Arabidopsis thaliana: one gene and its partners. The protein of the gene in region 3 interacts with the protein of the main gene of each other region in a pairwise test. Each region holds a gene or a part of one and is shown on either strand. Other genes may lie near its edges. The genes, in order: RABA1c, AT4G30660, TET2 and PGPS2.

Region 1 (4,983 bases), on a different chromosome or scaffold from region 3:
GGAATCATCTGCAGAAGCAAGAAAAGACGACCTTCCGTTACATACTACCTTTAACAAATCAAAAGATGTCAACATCAATGTCATAGGTAAATATGATAACTTTTTCGAAAAGTCGAGTTTTTAGTATCTCTACCTGGTTAACTTCATCTTTGTTGTAATTGTAACTCTCTAATGGCTTCCAAGAAGTAGCACTTAGCTATGAAATTGCATAAAGAGAGAAGCTTTAAAACTAAGTGAAGGATATGGTTATAGTTAGTTAATCAAAGTTTGAACATTTTAAATTACCGTATGAACATCGAAAGACTTGATTTCGTTTCCACAAGAAGCATAGAGAATGTTCTCATTACCTGAAAAATCAAATAAAAGTTATCACCAAATTGCAACAAAGAGAAGAAATTGAAAGAGAGAGAAACAGACAAAACACAAAGAGACAAAACCTGTCTTGAAACAAAGAGATGAAACTGGTTCTGTTCCAACATCGATGATGAATTGAACATCTTTACATCGCAAATCAAACCAGCAAATGCAACCATCCTATAATCGTATGATCGGAAAACTATGAATCTTGCGAAGTAACTACAATAACGAAACCTAAATTCATCGGAAAAAAGAGGTTTGAATTAGAGATTAAGAAACCTCGCCGGAAGTGAGAACAATTCCAGGCCGGTCACGAGAAGCTATACAACAAGTGGCAGTTGATTTGTGGCCTCTCAGCTTCCTTGGCTCTTCCATTGCCGTAGCCATAACTGTGAGTGAGAGTTTCTCCGGCGATTGCTCAGTTTCAAGCTCTAAATTGAGCTAAAAAAGGCTAACCGAAACAAACCAAAACTAAACCGGATATTTTGGTAATCCTTCGGTTTTGTACCAAAAAAATCGAAACAACAAAATTCCAACCTAACAGAAATCGATTTTAGTACCACTTAACCAAAATGAACCGATACGGTGAAACGAAATCAAACCGAAAATTATGTTCAACCAAACTGAAATCATCAAAGGCAGAAACTATTTTTATCTTTTCTTTTCAACAATTCTATTGTTTGAGATAAATATAATTTAGGGTTCTGAAAATTTGACATAGCATTTTCAAACAATAACATTGATAGATCAGATAAATAACAGAAATACACCAAATGGGCATTACTCAACCTAAAAGCAATCTTCATATTCGATAGAACCGTTAACAAAAACCGATCCTTAGGTTGTTAACAATAATTCTACTCTCTGATTAGTTCGAGCAGCATCCACCTTTCTTCACAGCTGAAACATCTTTACCGATATCGATCTTGTCTCCTTTCGATGGAACATTAGCGGATTCGCTCGCAGCTTCCATCGCCTTCTTGCTCACAATGTGGTGAATCTGAGTGAGGACTTCGGCGAAAGCGTTCTCAACATTGGTGGCTTCGAGAGCCGAGGTTTCCATGAAGTAGAGAGATTCTTTCTCGGCGAATGACTTAGCATCTTCAGTCTGAACAGCCACGAGATGGCGAAGGTCAGATTTGTTGCCCACGAGCATGACTACAATGTTTGGATCAGTGTGGTTTCTGAGTTCTTTCAGCCAAGTCTCAACGTTTTCAAATGTTGAGTGTCGGGTTACATCGTAGACAAGAAGCGCTCCAACAGCTCCTCGGTAATACGCACTAGTGATGGCTCGGTACCTATTGAAACAAAGTCAACGAAACAGAGAATTAAGTTAACCGAAACATCAGGAACACAAAAAAGGCAAGAAGCTTTACAGTTTCGAATTCAGACTATGCACGCTTTACAAAACTGATCAGAGAAATGGAGAATAGCAAATCATACAAAGCAAGAAGCTTTTCAATTTTGAAATTAAGACCAAGTAAAAGCTTCAAATGAAAGTTTAAGAATCCAACTAAAACCAATCAAGCTCTCTTACATAAATAAACTAAGCAAAAACAACAGAAGAAATCGATAATGATTGAAGAATCTTAGGTGAAATCTGAGAAAGAAGAGCTAAGAATCGTAGAAATGAAGTTACTGAAACCAATCAAGCTCTCTCACATAAACCTAAAATAGCAAAAACAACAGAAGAAATTTGATAAAGCTGATAACTTTATAATCATAATCATAGGATTCTCCTATCTTACACAAAACCCAAGTTGTCAAAATCACATACTAATCCAGATCTCTTCTTATAAAAGTGATCAATACCAATGGATCTAAATCAATTGATACAGATCTAACCTAAGCTGAAAATTTACTGTCTTTGGCAACCAAACAAAACCATAAACCCCAAAACTTCAATCAAAATGTTCTAATATAAGAAACCAGATCGAGAAATGAACAATGTGGTTGAAAAAGATGAGACCTTTCTTGACCAGCAGTATCCCAAATCTGAGCTTTGATGACTTTATCATCAACATTCAAACTCCGAGTCGCGAACTCGACCCCGATCGTGGATTTTGACTCGAGACTAAACTCGTTCTTCGTGAATCGTGAAAGCAAATTGGATTTGCCCACACCTGAATCACCTATCAGAACAACCTTGAATAGGTAATCGTATTCATCATCTGCTCTGTAACCCGCCATTGATTCTCTCCTTCAAAGCTTTTAACTTTACTCCTTCAGATTCGAGAAAACAAAACAAAGAGAGAGATAAAAATGGGTCCTTCTTTTCAAAATGAAAAACCCAAATGAGATTTGAAACTTGTTGCTCTTTTTTCCTTAGATTTTGTTTTGAAAATTTTTTCGATTTCAACAGAGAAAGACGCGGAATTGGAAAATATCAAACGAGAAAGACAAAGGACTTGTGTACTGTCTTTATCACAAAGAAATCTAACATTTGTGTGGCCAAATTTACTAAACTGCCCTGTTAACGCGTTCTGATCTATTACCTTGCTCGCTTCGATAAAGACGAGGACGTATTCGTCAATTCACATTTGTCTTTATCTTTTATGTTTTTCTAAACTGATTAAAATGATAAAAAAGAATGCGTCTGCCGGGAGTCGAACCCGGGTCTATTGCTTGGAAGGCAATTATCCTAACCGTTGGACTACAGACGCTGACGATTAATTCAAACAGATATAATATACTAATCCAGAATAATATGACGTGGCAAGTAAAGTGACTATAAATAAAATCGGGGAGATCTGTTTTCACTTTCTTCTCTCTAACAAACTAAGGCCTTGAATGGTACTAGTTTTTAAAGTTGATTTTGGCTTTTGATTTTACAAAATCCACTTTTTCATCCATTCATGATTTTGTAAAAAGTTAATTTCCTAAATTATAGGGAATTCAAAATTTAAAAGATTCTAGTCATTTGTTCTTAAAATCCAAAATTCACTTTTTTGGGATTTTCAACAAATTCTATCGTAAACTCTTTTTTTTTTGTTTTTAAAAATAAAAATAAAGTTTTAAATAAATAATTTTAAAACGTTTCTAAATAATAATTATATAAAAATCAAAAACTAGAAAAGTTACCATTTAAGATTTTGCAAAATCTAAAATCTCCACCAAAATCAAAAACTCATAAAATCAAAAACAAAAAACCAAAAGCCACAATCCAAAATCCAAAAACCCACCAAAATCAACAAAACATTCATGGCCTAATTTGGCAGTCAAAACAGAATTTGACCTTGAAGACGACTCTTGCAGACTTCTCCGGCGATTCTCCCGCCGTGAAACTCTTATCGGCGGCTATCTTTCTCCGTTTCGTTCCCGACGGTCGAGTTTGTACTGGCATTTACTTTACTTGTTCGAAGCGACTTCCAATTTTCACCTAATCAAACGCGACTCTCAACGGTTCGAGAATGGGTTGTATCGGATCTTCTCAGGCCAGAAATGAAGGCGGAGGTTAGTGGAATCGATACTCTCTTAAACCTTTAATTCCGCACTCCGTTTGTCTCGCTGAATTTGTTCTCAGAATTTGGGCTACGATTTATACTTGTGTTGTAATGTTTTGATTCTTGGTGATAGTTCTAGTTTTGAGGTGTTAACATGAACTAATCTTGCAAATGTTATGATTCTTGGAGTGATTTCGAAGGAAATATCAGTTTATTGTGGTGTTGACATGTTTGTGATTCGTTAAAGATTCCAAATTTTGAAGCTCAGAATTAGTTCAGCAGAGAATTAGAATGCTCTTCAACATTGTTTCTACTGCTCAGAATTAGAATGTTGGATCAGAGAAAGTTGTTATCGATGGTATGATTGAAATGAAATGGCCGTTTACTAATGTTATAACATTCCATTTTTACCAAGAAAAATTGTTCTGTGAACAATAGACAATATAATCTGATTCGTTCTGCCTTATACTGTATTTGTTGTCTTGATGAAATTGAAACTGTGATGATCTTCTGAAGTAGATGGCTATAATATTGGTGTTACTGAAAGAACTGTTTTAAAATTGGTGGTAGTTTATATTGTATCATTCTCTTATGAGTTTTGTACGTTTGACACAGCAAAAAGGAAGAAAATCATGAAACCTAAACCGTGGGCACATACTGAGCCAATCACAAGGGCACAACTTACGAACATGCGTGAGGAATTTTGGGACACCTCTCCACACTATGGTGGTCAAAGAGGTATATATATATCTCTCTTTCTTGTAATCTGCTGCATCGCACTATGTACATTTGGAAACTGAGCGAAATTTACTGAAAACCAGAGATATGGGAAGCACTTCGAGCTGCTGCTGAAGCTGACTTGAAACTAGCACAAACTATTGTTGACAGTGCAGGCGTGATTGTTCAGAACCGTGACCTAACATTGTGCTGGGATGAAAGAGGTTTGTAATACACAATTCTGATTCGTTTCTCTCGTTTCTTGTTTTGTTACCTTAATGACTTGCTCTTATTCAATGCAGGTGCTAGATATGAGCTTCCTAGGTACGTTCTAAGTGAGCCCACGAATCTGATTCGAGAGGAAGGACAGTAACTTCCAAGAACATTGACACAATACTTAGTAAGTAGTAGAAGAGGACTAGAAGTTGAAGTAAGTCTCTCATATTCAATACTTTTTGCAATTGAT
Region 2 (4,301 bases), on a different chromosome or scaffold from region 3:
AACAACCTCTTTAAAACATCTACTACATGAATTCAATCAAATTCAGTTACAATTAGAACTAACTACTAGGCACCATTTCCCTTCGACCACTATTTGCCTTACGTTGGAAATTCACTAAATTCCATTTCACATAAGAAAACGATAAATAATAACATTTGGGTCTGTTACCCATTAGGCTTAATTAATCATGATCCTCCCTTACGTAATTAGATTTTGCCTCTCGGAAACTTTCTTTGTTGCTGGCAAAAGGAAAGTTTCTTTGCTAATAAGTAATAAGTATCCCAATAGTTAAATACAATAATAGTATTAAACATCATTTCAAAGAAGAAGTAGCCCATGTTTAAGCCATGGTCGTTTCGTTACCTAAGCCTAGCGATATTATAAATACTAATTCTTTTGCACACATAATGCGTCCCATCATTGTAAAATTAACACATATTTCTGATTTTTTTCGATCAGATACATGTATATACACACATATTATTTGATAAAACAGAAATGAGGACTTCACTGGCATTTTCTTGTTCATTGATTGTACTCCTATTGTTACTCTCTCAGCCTTTGCCAATTTCATCTGAAAATAAGGAGAGTGAACGAAGACTTGCACAACACGGTGACTCCAATCCGTTGGATCATCATGACTCTCTTCGAGTTTTCATGAGGAAAGCTCGTTTTGGTGGTGTTGGTGGTGGTAGTCGTGGTGGTGGTCGTAGCCACCGTCGTGTCCCCAGTAGTGGTCATGGTGCGGGTGGATCATCCGCTACTAGTCGACCTTGTCTCTCGATGGCATTGCGCTACGGTTCCACGGTCGCGAGCTCAATTCTGTTGATGTTCTTCGCCTTCTAATTAAACTCTTTTTTTTTTTAACCTTTCAATTTAATAATTTAATTTGTGCCTTGCGAAAACACTATGTCAACAACCTGATGCATAAGCACACATAGCAGGAGGGTTCATAAGCTGATAACAGAAGAAACTTTCAATATTGCATATAAATGACACACAAACGTTTTCAAATCTCTGAAAACAACTGCAAAGCAACTTTATTGGTACAAGTCAAAGCAACACAGTTCCAAAGAAACAGAAATCAAGCAGAGTAGATGGGGCGTCTGTATTCATCAAAGTACTCTTCACGGTGCTGAAACACAATCACGTAAATCGCATATATTATCCCCGGGACATAGCCTAAGATCGTCAACACCAGGCATATCAAAAACTCCACCTGCCAAAACAAACCACACATAAAAAAAATTCAACTTTCTTCAAATGATTATCCAAGCTTTCAGGAATCAATGAATCAAACATAAATTGATCCAATCCAGAGAATTTCTGCGATTCATATCATAGATTAAGCACTCCCTTCATTACTCATACCAAATTACATTATAATCAATCCAAAATTACAGTCTCTATAAGAAGTTCCAGGATTCTTCAAAATTGAGGAATTCGAAAGAGAGAGAGAGAGAACTTACAGTGCAGCATCCTTTCCTGAAGCAAACTCCGAGAGGAGGAAGAAGGATCGCGATAATGATCTCGCACAGAATCTCACAGTTGCTCGGCATTTTTTCAGAGAGATGAGATGAGAGAAGAAGAAGCTTTAAGAGTTTTTTTAAAAGACAAAACACTGAAACTTGCTGTCACAGAGTTGAGAGTACCAATGAAGAGAGATCAGTCCACGTTTTATTTTGTTTCCACTACAAAGTCAATGTGCGAGATCTGCACCGTTCATTTATTGATATTTAAATCGTACGGCTTTAGATTACATCTCGTGAATCACAACGAACGATATGGTGCACCCTTATCACATCAGATCACTTTTAGATATTTTAGTCTCTGACTCATCCATGTGACTAAATGGGCCTGGGAAGGCCTGTCTATTTTATTAATCCCGGGACCAGACTGGAATTGGACAGAAACGTTTTGACTCAAACGGTGTCGTATTACTGAGACTTTGATTCCTCAACTCACAATCATTGTCATTATTTGCCAAAGTAACAGAAATCTATCTTTTTTAGCATAATCTATACCATAATATATGTTGGCATCATACAAAATCCTTTCAAACTCAAAAATGCTTCCGCATTTTGCGAAGTTTAAACTCCGGTAAATACAATCTTGGCAAAGAATTTGATACATTAACTCTTAGGAAGGTCCGTAGCCTGACTTTGCAAAAGCCAACAAGTTATACATCAAAAAGATAAGCAATGTATCAATAACGCGACAATGTTCTCAAATCTTCAATACATAAAAATTGCAAAGCAACTTATTATTTGGTACATGATAAGTAAAACAGTTTCAACAACATATTGATCCGTGTAATGGACCAAAACAGATCAAGCTGAGTTAAGTGGAGCTCCAAGTTCGGTAGAGCCTTCACGGTTTTGAAACACGATCACGTATAGTGCATAAATTATCCCTGGGATGTATCCTAAGATTGTCAGCACCAAGCAAATCAAGAACTCTACCTGCAAAAAAACTAAGAGTCAGATTTTCTAAACTAAATCTCAAGATTCATGATTCCAAAATTCCAATAACTTACAGTGCAACAGCCACGTTTGAGACAAACTCCAAGAGGTGGAAGAAGGATCGCGATTAAGATCTCGCAGAAAACTTCCATGTTGCTCGCCATTTTTTCAGAGATGTGAGTGAAGAAGATTCTTGAATGTGATCTGAATTAGTGGAGAAGAAGAGAACACTGAAAGTAGTCGGTAGCACAGAGATCCAATTAAAAGAGCAATCCACGGCTTTTTATTTTTGGCGCTACCAAGTCAACTACGAGATCTGCACCGTTTATTTGTTTGGTATATAAATCGTACGGCTTCAGCTTACATGCCGACATCTCGTAAAATTACCTTACCTTGCCCCCACTCTTTAGATATTTTCATCTCAAGAACACGCAAGGTATGGTGCAACACAACACACCTGATCATTGTGGGATATTATTACTCTGACTCGCCCCCTTATCGTACGGTTAATGGATCACGTGACTAAGTTGGCCTAGAAGGCCTGTCTTCTATTGTTTCCGGGACCGGACTTTGATTAGCCCAATTTTTCTGTTGCTTGCTTAGATGGCAAGCTATCTCAGTACATTTACTTAACCCATTTCCCTCAATGTTTATTTCACTTAACACTATGATTCAGACCTAAAGCAATGAAGAATATTAATAGAACACACCAAAAGTTGGGAATTTAGTGACAAGACAAACTCACAAAGAAAAAGGGTTTCACATTGTTTTAGGAATTCAAACATAGATAAGAACAGAGTAAAAAATGCCATAGAGGAAGCTCTGAGCATAAAAACCGGTCAACAAGTTGATCAAAACGTGCGTCCAACAAAAACCAAACACCATCATTCCTCTCTTGGATTACCAGGTCTTGGAACGCGTAAAACAGCAATCGGAGGATTGAAATCCGGCTTAATGATCTCCGTCAAATTCTTCAAGCCCGACGTATTAGTGTTTATATCACTTCTGGTCAATGATATACATCCGCGTAAGTCCATGTACTCTAGATTCGAACATCCCTTACAAACCGAGTCAAGTCCTCTAGCAGTCAATGTGGAGTATCGAATCTCCAAATGCTTGAGCTGTGTCATGTATTTCCCAATTATTCTAGCCTCTATATTCCCATATCTAGGAAATGTAGCCAGATAGTCTAGTGGCGCGACGATTGTTGGCAGGCTAGGACCTAGCCGGGGCAACAAATTCCGTTTCAGAATCTTTAAATTTTGGCAACTCCTCCCCAATGTTATCAGAGACTCGTGAGTTATGCCATAAGAGTAGCTTATATCAAGTTCTCTAAGATTTGGACAGTTCATAGCTATCTTCTCCATTGACGCATCTGTAACATTTGGGCAGTTCTTTATCCAAAGTACCTCTAGATTAGGGCACCTGCAAATGGAAACCACATGACATTTTATTCATTCTATCAAAACTCTGCGATTAACCTCTATGGACTCAAGCTAAAACTGAGAATTATCACGAAAAGTGATACGTACCTCTCGGCGGCGTAAGATAGAGAGCGTTCTGTACAATGCCTGATCCGAATCTCTGTGAGACCTCCTTCACTCCGATCAACAACAGATCGGAGAAATGAATCGACTTTATCCTCAAACTCGGGAGTCCACCAGTTGATCGACTCAGGGAACGACAGAAACCGAGTTTCGAGGTCGAAGATGGTGTTTAGTGTCGGGTCATAGCATGCGTTCATCCAGTTCTTGCTGACCAGCATCGGTCCAATCCATCTTTGTTCCTGGCTTAGCCGTGAGAAGATGTCAAGAAGACATTCTCGAGTCAACTCAGACC
Region 3 (6,009 bases):
CAGGTAAAGTAATTAAGAATTGAATAGTACCAAAGGCTCTACCATTTTTACCTGTTTGCTTATTTAACTAAACAATGTGAGAGGGTGAAATTGATATTTGCAGCAAGACGATGGATGAATATGTTTGTCAACTGCACAAGTTTGCAGAGAGACTCTCCAAGCTCATGTGTGAGAATCTTGGTCTTGATCAGGAAGACATAATGAATGCCTTTTCTGGTCCAAAAGGTCCAGCTTTTGGAACAAAAGTGGCTAAATACCCAGAATGCCCACGTCCTGAGCTTATGAGAGGGCTGAGAGAACATACGGATGCTGGGGGAATCATATTACTCCTGCAGGATGATCAAGTGCCTGGTCTTGAGTTCTTTAAAGATGGGAAGTGGGTTCCTATACCGCCATCCAAGAACAATACCATTTTTGTCAATACCGGTGATCAACTAGAGATACTGAGTAATGGGAGGTACAAGAGTGTTGTTCACCGTGTAATGACAGTGAAGCATGGAAGTAGACTGTCGATTGCTACGTTTTACAATCCGGCTGGTGATGCCATAATATCTCCAGCTCCAAAGCTCTTGTATCCAAGTGGCTACCGTTTTCAAGACTACCTAAAGCTTTATTCAACTACCAAGTTTGGAGACAAAGGCCCCAGACTTGAGACCATGAAGAAAATGGGAAATGCGGATTCAGCCTAGGATGCATCTGGAATTTGACGCTTCTGTACTCACATCATAAAAACTTTGTCTTCTTCTTGTGTTTCCTTATAATTTAAATAACCAGCCATGTCAGAATCTTGCTGATTCAGCTATACTACTTCACTCTTCTTTCTTCACTTCCACTTGAAAAGTTCCAAAGCCAAACTGAAGCAGTCTCATCAAGCTCTGTGTCGAACTTGAGATTAGACAAAGAGCTTGTAATCTAAGCTCTAAGATTGACAGTCAATTTCATGATTTATAAGATGTAATTCAACTCTTAACGTAATCCACAACTCCGCCATCATCTCTTTCCATATTCTCTCTGATTTGACTCATTTCCTTCCCAATTCCTAGAATCAAACAAATAGCATTTCTATATCAGCATCTAAAACTGAAAGCTAAGTGTGTATTGACTCAAAATTCTTCTCCAATCGCAATAAAATCGAGATGAGAAAAATTCATCCATATGTTTTGGTTCACACATTCTATCGAGCAGCTTGTGTGCAATCCCAATCCTCTGAACCAAAACAAAAGCTTATCTCTTGACCATTACCCGACATTTCACTCATCAGCCAACGACAAATCCTGCTCCGAAACCTCTAATGCTTGGAAAAGAAGAAAATTCCGATTTCCGAACAATGGAACTTACTCCATTTTGCATTCTCTGTCGAAAGTAACATACGTTCAATGCAAATGACCCAAAGTCGTCGGTGCCACGTGGATAGTTCTCACTGGTTGATGCATTCGGTAACTCGCAGAATGGAAGAATATTAACACAAAAGGCATCTCGCGTATCCACGTGTCCCGTTCAAGATTCCAAATTCTAAACCAAAAGCCGGTCCGACCAGATTAACAAGTTCTCTTTATTACATCACAACCCAAAACTTGTTCAAAACCTAACTTTTCATTGCTAAACATATTTTATTCTGACATTCACATGTTAACTTTAATCCAATATCTAATTCTTTTTTCTTAAAACCACCGTTGTCGAAAAATCCAAATCAGCAAAATCAGTGATTAACCGGACCGGACCAAACCGAACATCGTTTTCTGTAAATAGCAGTAACTGGTTTCACACATCCCATCATCTCTAACCACCGACCTCATAAGTCATTAAGACAAAAACAGAGACACTCCTCTCACTCTCATTATTTCATTTTCTTTCCATAAAAAGCACGAATCTTCAAGAACAAAGAGAGAGAGAGAGAGAAAATTTAATGGCGTTAGCGAATAACTTAACGGCGATACTCAACTTACTAGCGTTACTCTGTTCCATACCAATAACGGCGTCAGGTATATGGCTAGCTTCAAAGCCAGACAACGAGTGTGTCAATCTCCTCCGTTGGCCCGTTGTCGTCCTCGGCGTTCTCATCCTCGTCGTCTCCGCCACAGGCTTCATCGGCGCCTACAAGTAAGAATCAAAGAACTTCAAGACTTTGAAAACATAGACACAAATTGAATCATAAAGATGTAAACTTTGAGCTCTCATATTTCAGGTACAAGGAAACTCTACTGGCGGTTTACTTGTGCTGTATGGCGATATTGATCGGACTTTTGCTGGTGGTTCTTATATTTGCATTCGTCGTGACCCGGCCCGATGGATCGTATCGGGTTCCGGGTAGAGGTTATAAAGAGTATAGGCTTGAAGGGTTCTCGAATTGGCTTAAGGAGAACGTTGTGGATTCCAAGAACTGGGGAAGGCTAAGGGCTTGTTTGGCTGATACTAATGTTTGTCCTAAACTCAACCAAGAATTCATCACCGCCGATCAGTTCTTCTCCTCCTCTAAGATCACTCCTCTCCAGGCATGTTCTTTCTTCTTTTATTCTCTTTTATAAAAAGAACCCCGAAATTTCTAGTTTCCGGTTTAGGTTTGGTTTAGAGGTAAATCTAGACTAAATATCGGTTATGCAACTATGCCAACGAATCATTGTGGGTTTAATTAGATATTATTAGATGATTAATGGAGATAAGATACGAAGTAAAGAGAATGTTTTGTAAAATCTCTAGATTATGTGAGACCTACGGTTTGTTCTTGCCATAGAAAGATAGGTTATTTTTTCTTTCAAAAAGTAAAGTATGTGGTTTTAAATCAAAAAGTTAAAAAATTTCTCTTTAGCTTTTGTGAAGATGTCCAAAAGAGAATTGTTCTTATTCTCTATATTCTTTTTTTTTGTTTTGCAGCTTTAAGTTATTTCGTTTTGGATTTCCTCATCTTTGAAAAAACTAAAAAAATATTTTCTGACTTAATTAATCTTATGTTTTCTAGTGTTGGAGAGAAACCTACATTAGCTTTCTTAACGTTTCGCAGTTAGTGCCATTTTGTGGTAAAACTCATAGATTAGGCATATGTAATCACCATTATTGAACACATATTTATTCCTAGTAGACTGGTGTAGAAGTTGCTGGAGACCAAGTCCACAAGATTATATAGTAAGATAGTCAGATTTCAAAATTATACACTATCATAAGGACCCACCCATGCACCCACAATATGGTACATGATAAACTATGTTTTATCTGTGTATTAATTATATTTTTCCTTTGTCACTATCTCACTCATAAAATTCAATGATCCCATTCACTTTAGATAGTGTTTTTCGTGATCACAACTCAAACTTGACAAAATTTCCTACTTTTTCTATTTAATTTTATTAATTAAAATCACTCTTAAAATTCATTGTCATGTCTTTTATGTCTTTTAAGCTTTAAACATGGAGAGATTAAGGGTGATTTAAATAATTTTATTCCTAAAACTTCTATAGCAAGTTGTCATCCTAGTCCATTGTCACTGTAACAAGATTGGAACCACTAATAATTAAATAAGCCTAGATGCTGAGGTCTCGACTGAATTTTAAATCTTTTAGTCATTAGACATTATTAAATATTGGACCAATGATTTGATTCAATAATTACGATCACAAGTCTTTGTCTCCATCATGAAACATAATAGATAATTATATCCCTCCCATGTTGCCCCACTCACATTATAATTTTTCTTATTGGATAAATTAGGACTCAAGAAAAAATAAGTTTATTTCTAAGAAAGAGTTATACAATTTCTCGTCCTCGAGACAGAACCAAAATTTACTCATAAGTAAAAGAAGATTATTCTGTGATAAGATTCAACATGTTTTTTCATTTTTTTTATGTACTTTCATACCAAGCAAGCAATTTTTTAGGTTTCTTGTAGTCGTTTTATTTTTATAGCTTTCAGACTAAAACTAGTGTTTCATTGTTTTAGGTCTTGACTCTTGAACTCTTGATTGTTTGTGTTTGCCTTTAGTATATACTTTTTTTTTCTCCACATGAACCCATAATATTAACCATGTTAAGCAAAATGAAATTTTTGTTGTAAACACAAAGGGCAGACGCAAATGGTAGCGTTTGTGTTTACAATGTGTAAATATTTTTTACCAATAAAAAAAAAGTGTAAATATCTTTAAGACTATGATTATCATATTTGAAAACATGGTTAAGCATATATTTGGTCAAATCTAATTATGACAATTTCTTGAACATTTGTTGTTTTACAGTCCGGCTGCTGCAAACCACCAACCGCATGTGGCTACAACTTTGTGAACCCAACACTGTGGCTAAATCCAACCAATATGGCTGCAGACGCAGACTGTTACTTATGGAGCAATGACCAAAGCCAGCTTTGTTACAATTGCAACTCATGCAAAGCTGGTTTATTGGGAAACCTTAGAAAAGAATGGCGTAAAGCAAATCTCATACTTATCATCACAGTCGTTGTTCTCATATGGGTTTATGTTATTGCTTGTAGCGCGTTTAGGAATGCTCAGACTGAGGATCTCTTCCGCAAATACAAACAAGGTTGGGTCTAAAATGTGTTTGTGTCTATAAATTTGTTTGTAGTTTGTTGAGATTGGAGTTTTCGGAAATAGCTCGTCATATTATGATTTCTTTGTGTGTGGAAAAGGTTTTTTTCTTTTTATGGATTTTGTTTCTATGTTTATCAGTTTATGTTCGACAAAATGGCACTTATCTATGTAAACAAACAACTGACCCTAATTGGAAAACTGATTGTTGTCATAGAGTTTTCTCAGTTTCTTCTATTAAGAAAAACTTAACCGTTGGTTAAAACGTAATTATCAACAAAGACTTCTCTTTTGGTCTGTGACGTTGATTCCAACGATAAGAACAAAACCTAATCTTTGTTTTCTTTTGTCAACAATAGTACTATCACCTTTGTTCTTAACTATTTTTTTGGGAACTTAAAATTGACAACACCGGAATTAAAATGTTTAATACTATCAAAATTATATGAAACTAAGCTGTCTTTTAGCTATAGTTTAATTCATTTCTGACCTCTAAAATAATATTATCCGGAGATTATTGTAGTTTCGTAACGTGGTTGATGAAACTACTAGGTGTTTTCTTAATTAGACCACGATTTTAACATTACGTTACACTAATACTCTATTGCATTTTTGGTAGTTTTCATAACAATGATTCCATGCGGCTTAGTCAAACCGAAATCATATTATTTGTAAATTCAATTCTGATATAATTTTTCTATTTTGTACCAAACGTAAACCGAAACATAACCGAAACCGAACCAAAACTTCATTTGCGTAATGTAGTTTCCTACGTTGTTGTATCTATAAATAGTTTGTTTGTCCAGCATCCATTTCATAATTCCTCATTTCCCGGATCTCTCCCATCTAAAAATAACCCGACCCATTTACGCGACCCAAACCGGATCAACCCGCAATGGATAAGCCAAGCTTCGTAATCCAATCCAAAGAAGCAGAATCCGCCGCGAAACAACTCGGCGTTTCCGTCATTCAGCTCCTCCCGTCGCTAGTCAAACCAGCACAATCCTACGCTCGAACTCCGATTTCGAAATTCAACGTCGCAGTCGTCGGACTCGGATCATCAGGTCGGATCTTCTTAGGCGTCAATGTCGAATTCCCAAATCTCCCTCTCCACCACTCAATCCACGCCGAACAGTTCCTCGTCACCAATCTCACACTCAACGGTGAACGTCATCTCAATTTCTTCGCCGTCTCCGCCGCACCATGTGGCCATTGCCGTCAATTCCTCCAAGAAATTCGCGACGCACCTGAAATCAAAATCCTTATCACCGATCCAAACAACTCCGCCGATTCCGATTCCGCCGCCGATTCAGACGGATTCTTACGTCTCGGAAGCTTCTTGCCACACAGATTCGGTCCCGACGATCTTCTCGGGAAAGATCATCCTCTTCTTCTCGAATCTCACGATAACCATCTCAAAATCTCAGATCTGGATTCGATTTGTAACGGAAACACCGATTCATCCGCCGATTTGAAACAA
Region 4 (5,304 bases), on a different chromosome or scaffold from region 3:
GAGCACAATAACCGAGTATTGGGAGAGAGCCTTGATCTGATTAAGTACATTGACACTAATTTTGAAGGGCCTTCGCTTACACCCGATGTGAGTATCTATGACATCTTTGATTTATTGAGCTCAATTTTAACACATTAAGTGAACCTATACTTAGAAGAGAGATATCCATGGATGGAATAATAACAGGGTTTAGAGAAGCAAGTTGTAGCTGATGAGTTACTCTCTTACACTGACTCCTTCTCCAAGGCTGTAAGATCCACATTAAACGGCACTGACACTAATGCAGCAGGTGATTAGAAGATGAAGTTGTTATCTTACTTCTGTGTTTGCAGATACATTATGTTGGCATGTGTATGAATCTTGTCTTTCATTTTTTCAGATGTTGCATTTGATTACATCGAGCAGGCTCTTTCCAAATTCAATGAAGGGCCTTTCTTTCTTGGTCAATTTAGTTTGGTATTGTCGATTATATTTCTATATTCAATTTGCCATACCCATATCAACTCTTGCTGCTGAGAAAAAAAATGGTGTTTATTTCTATAGGTTGATGTTGCATATGCTCCTTTCATAGAGAGATTTCGGCTTATCTTAAGTGATGTGATGAACGTCGATATTACATCTGGTCGGCCTAACCTTGCCCTTTGGATTCAGGTTAAGCTATTACCTAGACATTTGTAACTACCTTTCATTCTAAGGCTAAATATTCCCCATACACATGCTAATCTCTGGTTCTTTGCTTTTATGCAGGAGATGAACAAAATCGAAGCTTACACCGAAACCCGTCAAGATCCACAAGAGCTTGTTGAAAGATACAAGAGACGAGTCCAAGCAGAAGCACGTCTCTAACCAGATGGTTCTCCGGATATCTCCATTTACAAGGGTTTAGAAGGATCAAATGGGAAGAGATATTGTAACCAAAGTTTTTTATATATATAAATTATATTGTATCGGTAAAAGCATCTACATGACATGCAACAATTGTTTTCATTTATATCAGAATTCATGAGACCAAGTCTTCGACTAGAACGAAATTGCGCCTGCTGCTTTTCCATCATTGCCCATAAGATCGTGCTTGCTGCTTCATTAAAATTCGGTGCTAGCCGGAGCAATGTGATTCAGAGATATTATACAAAACCAAACCAAGTAGAGTACGACCCCAGTGCCCAAAGTTGAAAACAGAACTAAAGCATCATATAAGAGTCTTATAGTGCTTGCCCAACTAATTTCATTTGTATCCAGAGAGAAATTAGTCAGCTTTCTTCAAGAAGAAGAGAGGTAAATCTTCCATTCTATGTGTATATACTGAATGCAAAAAGCCCGAAAAAAGAGTTTTTTGTTGCTACTTCTTTAGCAGTACTCTCCATATCTTCCTCATATAAACAACTAAAGACCATATAGAGAGCCCTGCAGATACATAGAGCAACCCAATACCCGACGGTAATAGTCTCTCAAAACTGCTATCCCGGCTTGCAAGAAGTATGGTTAGCGCTATCATCTGCGTTGCAGTTTTCCACTTTCCCAAGCTATTTACAGCAACAGCCTAGCAACATCAATGCCATTTCCATGGATTAGGAAAGGAACACTTACGAAAACAGATCCAAGAGAACGCACATGATGGTGATAACTTTACCTCTGAAAGCTTGCCGTTTTGAGATGCAGCCCATTCTCTTACTGCAGACATAGTAATCTACAGTGAAAAGTATACCGACTAGTTTAGAACAGAAAGCTGATAAGTGAAACTTACTTAACGGTATATCAGAATTCTGTATCTTACCTCTCTACCAATGATGGCGATTGAAGGTACTGTCACTAACCATGGAACTGGTCCTAAGACAACGGCGACCATTGGTTTAGTGCACAACAATATCAATGTAGCTGCTACCATAAGCGCATACCAATGACATAAATCAGAATGATAAAAATCATTCCTTTCTGGTGGAGAAAAGATAAAGAGGATAGAGGTAGCTAAGGAAGAAGGTATCTGACCTTATCTGCCACTGGATCCAAAAATGCACCAAATTCAGAACCCAATCTCATCTGAAAAGGCACGTCTCACTGTTAAAAGCTTACAATTTCAACTATGCAGAAGAACATGAAAGGGTAAAGAAAGAAGTTACCTTCCGTGCAATATATCCATCAAGCCAATCTGTAATGGCTGCTGCAATGAAAATACTTGTCGTAGCAGTTCTTCCCCACCAGCAATCAACGTAAAAGGCTACATTTCAAAAACCAAAGGAGATGATGAAGATAATGCAATGGGAGATAAAACAATCAAAATCAGGAATTGAACATCAAAAGATCCAATTCAGATTAAATTTGAAGAGTGGTAACAAGTGAAGTACACATAGCAATAAGCTCAATTTCAAAAAAGTTGTCGAATTTCTCGAATTCAAACCAACAAAACTCTGATCTGGAAAAATCGCAATTGCATCTTCGTTTAGATCTGATGATTAGACTCCTATCACACACCGAACAAGTACAATGACTCCAACCAGAATTCAGAGTCGAAAAAAGTAAACTTACTGGCGACGAGAATCGGAACGGCAGCTACACGGCCAAGGGTTAATACGGTAGGCAATGTAATCACTTTAGAAGAAAGCTGTGTCGGTGAAGGCAATGGCGACGAATGACGATTACGAAGCAATGAATCTTTGCCACCACCGAAACTGTTCTGATCCACCGTCGCGGTGTCTTCTTCACCCATATCCTCCACAAGAGCTGATCTGTAAACCTGACGATCCGACAAAGAAGGAAGAGAAGCACGAAGAAGGGCGGTGGCGACACCGACCTGAATCCGGAACCCTAAGCCTTTATGGGAGTCACACAACGGCCAATAATAATGCAGCTTGGGAGAGATGCTAACGTGCGCTAACTATGAAAATAAGCGAGCCGGGTGCGTAACGTGCGCCGATAATCGTCGACTTTGGATTGATATGGACGATTGATAATGAAGCAAATGGCACGTTTTGGGCCTTCTCTTTAATTCTTAGCTGATTTTGATTTTATATATTTGTTAAAAATGTAAAACTAATATCTTCGTTGTATGTTTGCATGAATCAATATCATATAGCTACTTCCCACCAAAAAAAATATATCATATAGCTACTAATCTCAACTTATATTGTTCGATGGAGTCATCACTTTGATAGTTAATCTTCAACACCCATTCGCTACCTACAACCTTTTGCATGAGTTGATGTGTGTCAAATCCCAAGTCTCATTTCGTTGTAATGCCTTCTTTGGCCATTGCTCTTTTCTATTATGTGCTGCACTCTTCCTCTTACGTACGTTTGTGGTTCCATACTTCCATGATTGAATCTAAAACACTAACAAAAACTTGGTGCACATTTGGAAGATAATCATTGTGATAATGAACAACCATATAATCATTTGTGTTGGTTTACCCAAACCGACGAATATTTGGTTTTGTAAACAAGTGTTTGAGAACGTGAGAGTATTATAGAAACAAGAATTTAAGCTCCTTACTAGCCCCTAAACAAAACTCCAAATTATACACGTACGTATATAGGTAAATAAATATACAGTACACGAAATAGTAGATTATAATATTTAAACCATTGAATTGACTAAAGTTATAACTGTGTATATATTCAACTAGCCATTGGTGGATATTCTTCATAATTTCTCAAATCTGGATTTTCATATTTGTTTCATCTTCTATTGATTTTGCACCTAAAACTCTTAACACAATTATGTAAACCTCTCTTAAGTTTGCCAAGTGTGATTGAAAGGAAAAAAGAGTGAGACTATTAACTACATATATGAAAGTTCTATTAGAGTCAAACAATTAGTAACTAAAATAAGAATTCTAATTAATATATGATAGAAATTTCCCACTTGATTAAATTTAATATGGTGAATACTTAGATTATGGATTTAGCGAATCTAAGAAAAACTTATTAAAAAAAAATAAAAAAAAATTAAAGACATATTTAATTCCCTAGAAAAGTCCTTTACCAACTCCTAAAGCAATTGGTCCTTTACCGACAAATCGACAACCATTACAATCCCCACAATTATTTTCTTGCATATCTATCTTTTTAGGGTTAAAAATGAATCTCATCAATCAAAGATTTTGGTAAATGTGTTTAGTTTTTTTTTGAAGTTCGACTATTTGAGGTTAATAATTAAAGACCAACCATGGTCGCGCTACAAATTGAATACGGTATGGTAAACCATACGTTCACGCTTGTTACACATACATCAAATTAATAACGTTCGTACTTTAAACTGAATCTTATAAGGATGATACATGACGTAGATGTCCTTAATCCCATATCTAATAACAACTTTGTCTATCTTTCAAAGTAGGTTGATATAGACTCGCACAACCACACAAAAATTAGATATAAGGATATGATTTTTCTTTCATCAAATTGTCATTTTGGTCTTACAAATAAGATAATTAACTCAATCAAATTATCTGAAGATAAAATTGACATAGCAAAATATTGGAAGACAACTGTGAAATTCACATTTACATACAAAATCAGTAAGTAGTTAAAAAGATAGGAGTAAAAAAGATATACAAAAATGAGAGAAAGATGAAAGAGACCTTTTGGACTCAGTGTCAAGGAATCGAAACGCAGTCAAAATAGAGAGAGAGAGAGAGAGAGAGAGAGAGAGAGAGAGTCACACATGTAATAAACCTTGGTCGACAATCTCGCCCTTTCCATGTGATTTCTCCACTTCCTCTCTCTCTCTACTGCAACTTCCTCCTCCTGCTTCAACTTCATTCGGGTAATGATGAACTAGCGTAGAGATTTGGATCTTCTTCTTCGTCCTCTCACCAACTCTTCACCGGTTAGATCTCTTTTTCACGCTAACGAATGAGGAGCGTTGCCGCCGCCGCCGCTGCTGCTGCTGCTGCTTCTAAGCCTTCTAATCCTCTCGTCGCCTTTGAGCACAAGAGGTTTCGCGTTTTTCCCCCTTTCCCCTGTACATTTCTGCTTCCTCTTTTTTGGTTTGAACTTGCGCTTCTTCTCTCTTTAGCTTTTTGCTAGACTCGCTGAGCGAAATGTTGTATCTCCGATTACGAGAGTTTTAATCCGTCTTGTTGTTAGCGTAATTTTGCATTTTCTTAACAATTTAGTTGGGATTTTGATGATTATTGGTCTTGATTTGAAGTACATCCTAGTGATTTGGATTTGAATGCTGATTTTTGTCCAGTGGTGACTATTGTTCTCAATGTGGCATAATCGTTAGTGAAGGTAGTCTTTGATAGCAAATTCGAGTTGTTTCTGTTGTTCAATTTCTTGAAAACAAACTGATGAGAGATGCAAT

Evidence for each region.
Region 1: the proteins of TET2 (region 3) and RABA1c interact in a protein complementation assay, tested with the Arabidopsis thaliana proteins (one large-scale study listed by BioGRID).
Region 2: the proteins of TET2 (region 3) and AT4G30660 interact in a protein complementation assay, tested with the Arabidopsis thaliana proteins (one large-scale study listed by BioGRID).
Region 4: the proteins of TET2 (region 3) and PGPS2 interact in a protein complementation assay, tested with the Arabidopsis thaliana proteins (one large-scale study listed by BioGRID).

Annotation. Positions count from the first base shown.
Region 1 is NC_003076.8:18,556,882-18,561,864, reverse strand, and holds RABA1c (RAB GTPase homolog A1C), read right to left. Parts: upstream 2,806-4,983; 5' UTR 2,548-2,805; coding exon 2,327-2,547; intron 1,656-2,326; coding exon 1,226-1,655; 3' UTR 920-1,225; downstream 1-919. Other genes in the region: AT5G45760 (Transducin/WD40 repeat-like superfamily protein), read right to left, coding at 1-48, 134-196, 286-347, 438-534, 637-744; AT5G45740 (Ubiquitin domain-containing protein), read left to right, coding at 3,768-3,810, 4,416-4,538, 4,622-4,741, 4,820-4,890. UniProt on the Arabidopsis thaliana protein: Intracellular vesicle trafficking and protein transport.
Region 2 is NC_003075.7:14,952,728-14,957,028, reverse strand, and holds AT4G30660 (Low temperature and salt responsive protein family), read right to left. Parts: upstream 1,651-4,301; 5' UTR 1,560-1,650; coding exon 1,470-1,559; exon of another isoform or gene 1,220-1,469; coding exon 1,085-1,219; 3' UTR 1,029-1,084; exon of another isoform or gene 869-1,028; 3' UTR 858-868; downstream 1-857. Other genes in the region: AT4G30662 (uncharacterized protein), read left to right, coding at 499-846; AT4G30650 (Low temperature and salt responsive protein family), read right to left, coding at 2,331-2,462, 2,537-2,626; AT4G30640 (RNI-like superfamily protein), read right to left, coding at 3,347-3,887, 3,995-4,301.
Region 3 is NC_003071.7:8,470,919-8,476,927, reverse strand, and holds TET2 (tetraspanin2), read left to right. Parts: upstream 1-1,774; 5' UTR 1,775-1,906; coding exon 1,907-2,100; intron 2,101-2,185; coding exon 2,186-2,492; exon of another isoform or gene 2,493-3,323; intron 3,324-4,223; coding exon 4,224-4,535; 3' UTR 4,536-4,794; downstream 4,795-6,009. Other genes in the region: ACO1 (ACC oxidase 1), read left to right, coding at 1-3, 104-689; CDA1 (cytidine deaminase 1), read left to right, coding at 5,425-6,009. UniProt on the Arabidopsis thaliana protein: May be involved in the regulation of cell differentiation.
Region 4 is NC_003074.8:20,394,260-20,399,563, reverse strand, and holds PGPS2 (phosphatidylglycerolphosphate synthase 2), read right to left. Parts: upstream 2,968-5,304; 5' UTR 2,705-2,967; coding exon 2,524-2,704; intron 2,216-2,523; coding exon 2,118-2,215; intron 2,038-2,117; coding exon 1,987-2,037; intron 1,889-1,986; coding exon 1,775-1,888; intron 1,688-1,774; coding exon 1,631-1,687; intron 1,541-1,630; coding exon 1,340-1,540; 3' UTR 911-1,339; downstream 1-910. Other genes in the region: GSTL2 (glutathione transferase lambda 2), read left to right, coding at 1-87, 187-289, 380-456, 544-651, 748-846; AT3G55020 (Ypt/Rab-GAP domain of gyp1p superfamily protein), read left to right, coding at 4,851-4,933. UniProt on the Arabidopsis thaliana protein: Catalyzes the committed step to the synthesis of the acidic phospholipids, including phosphatidylglycerol (PG). Together with PGPS1, required for the proper embryo development by providing PG accurate levels.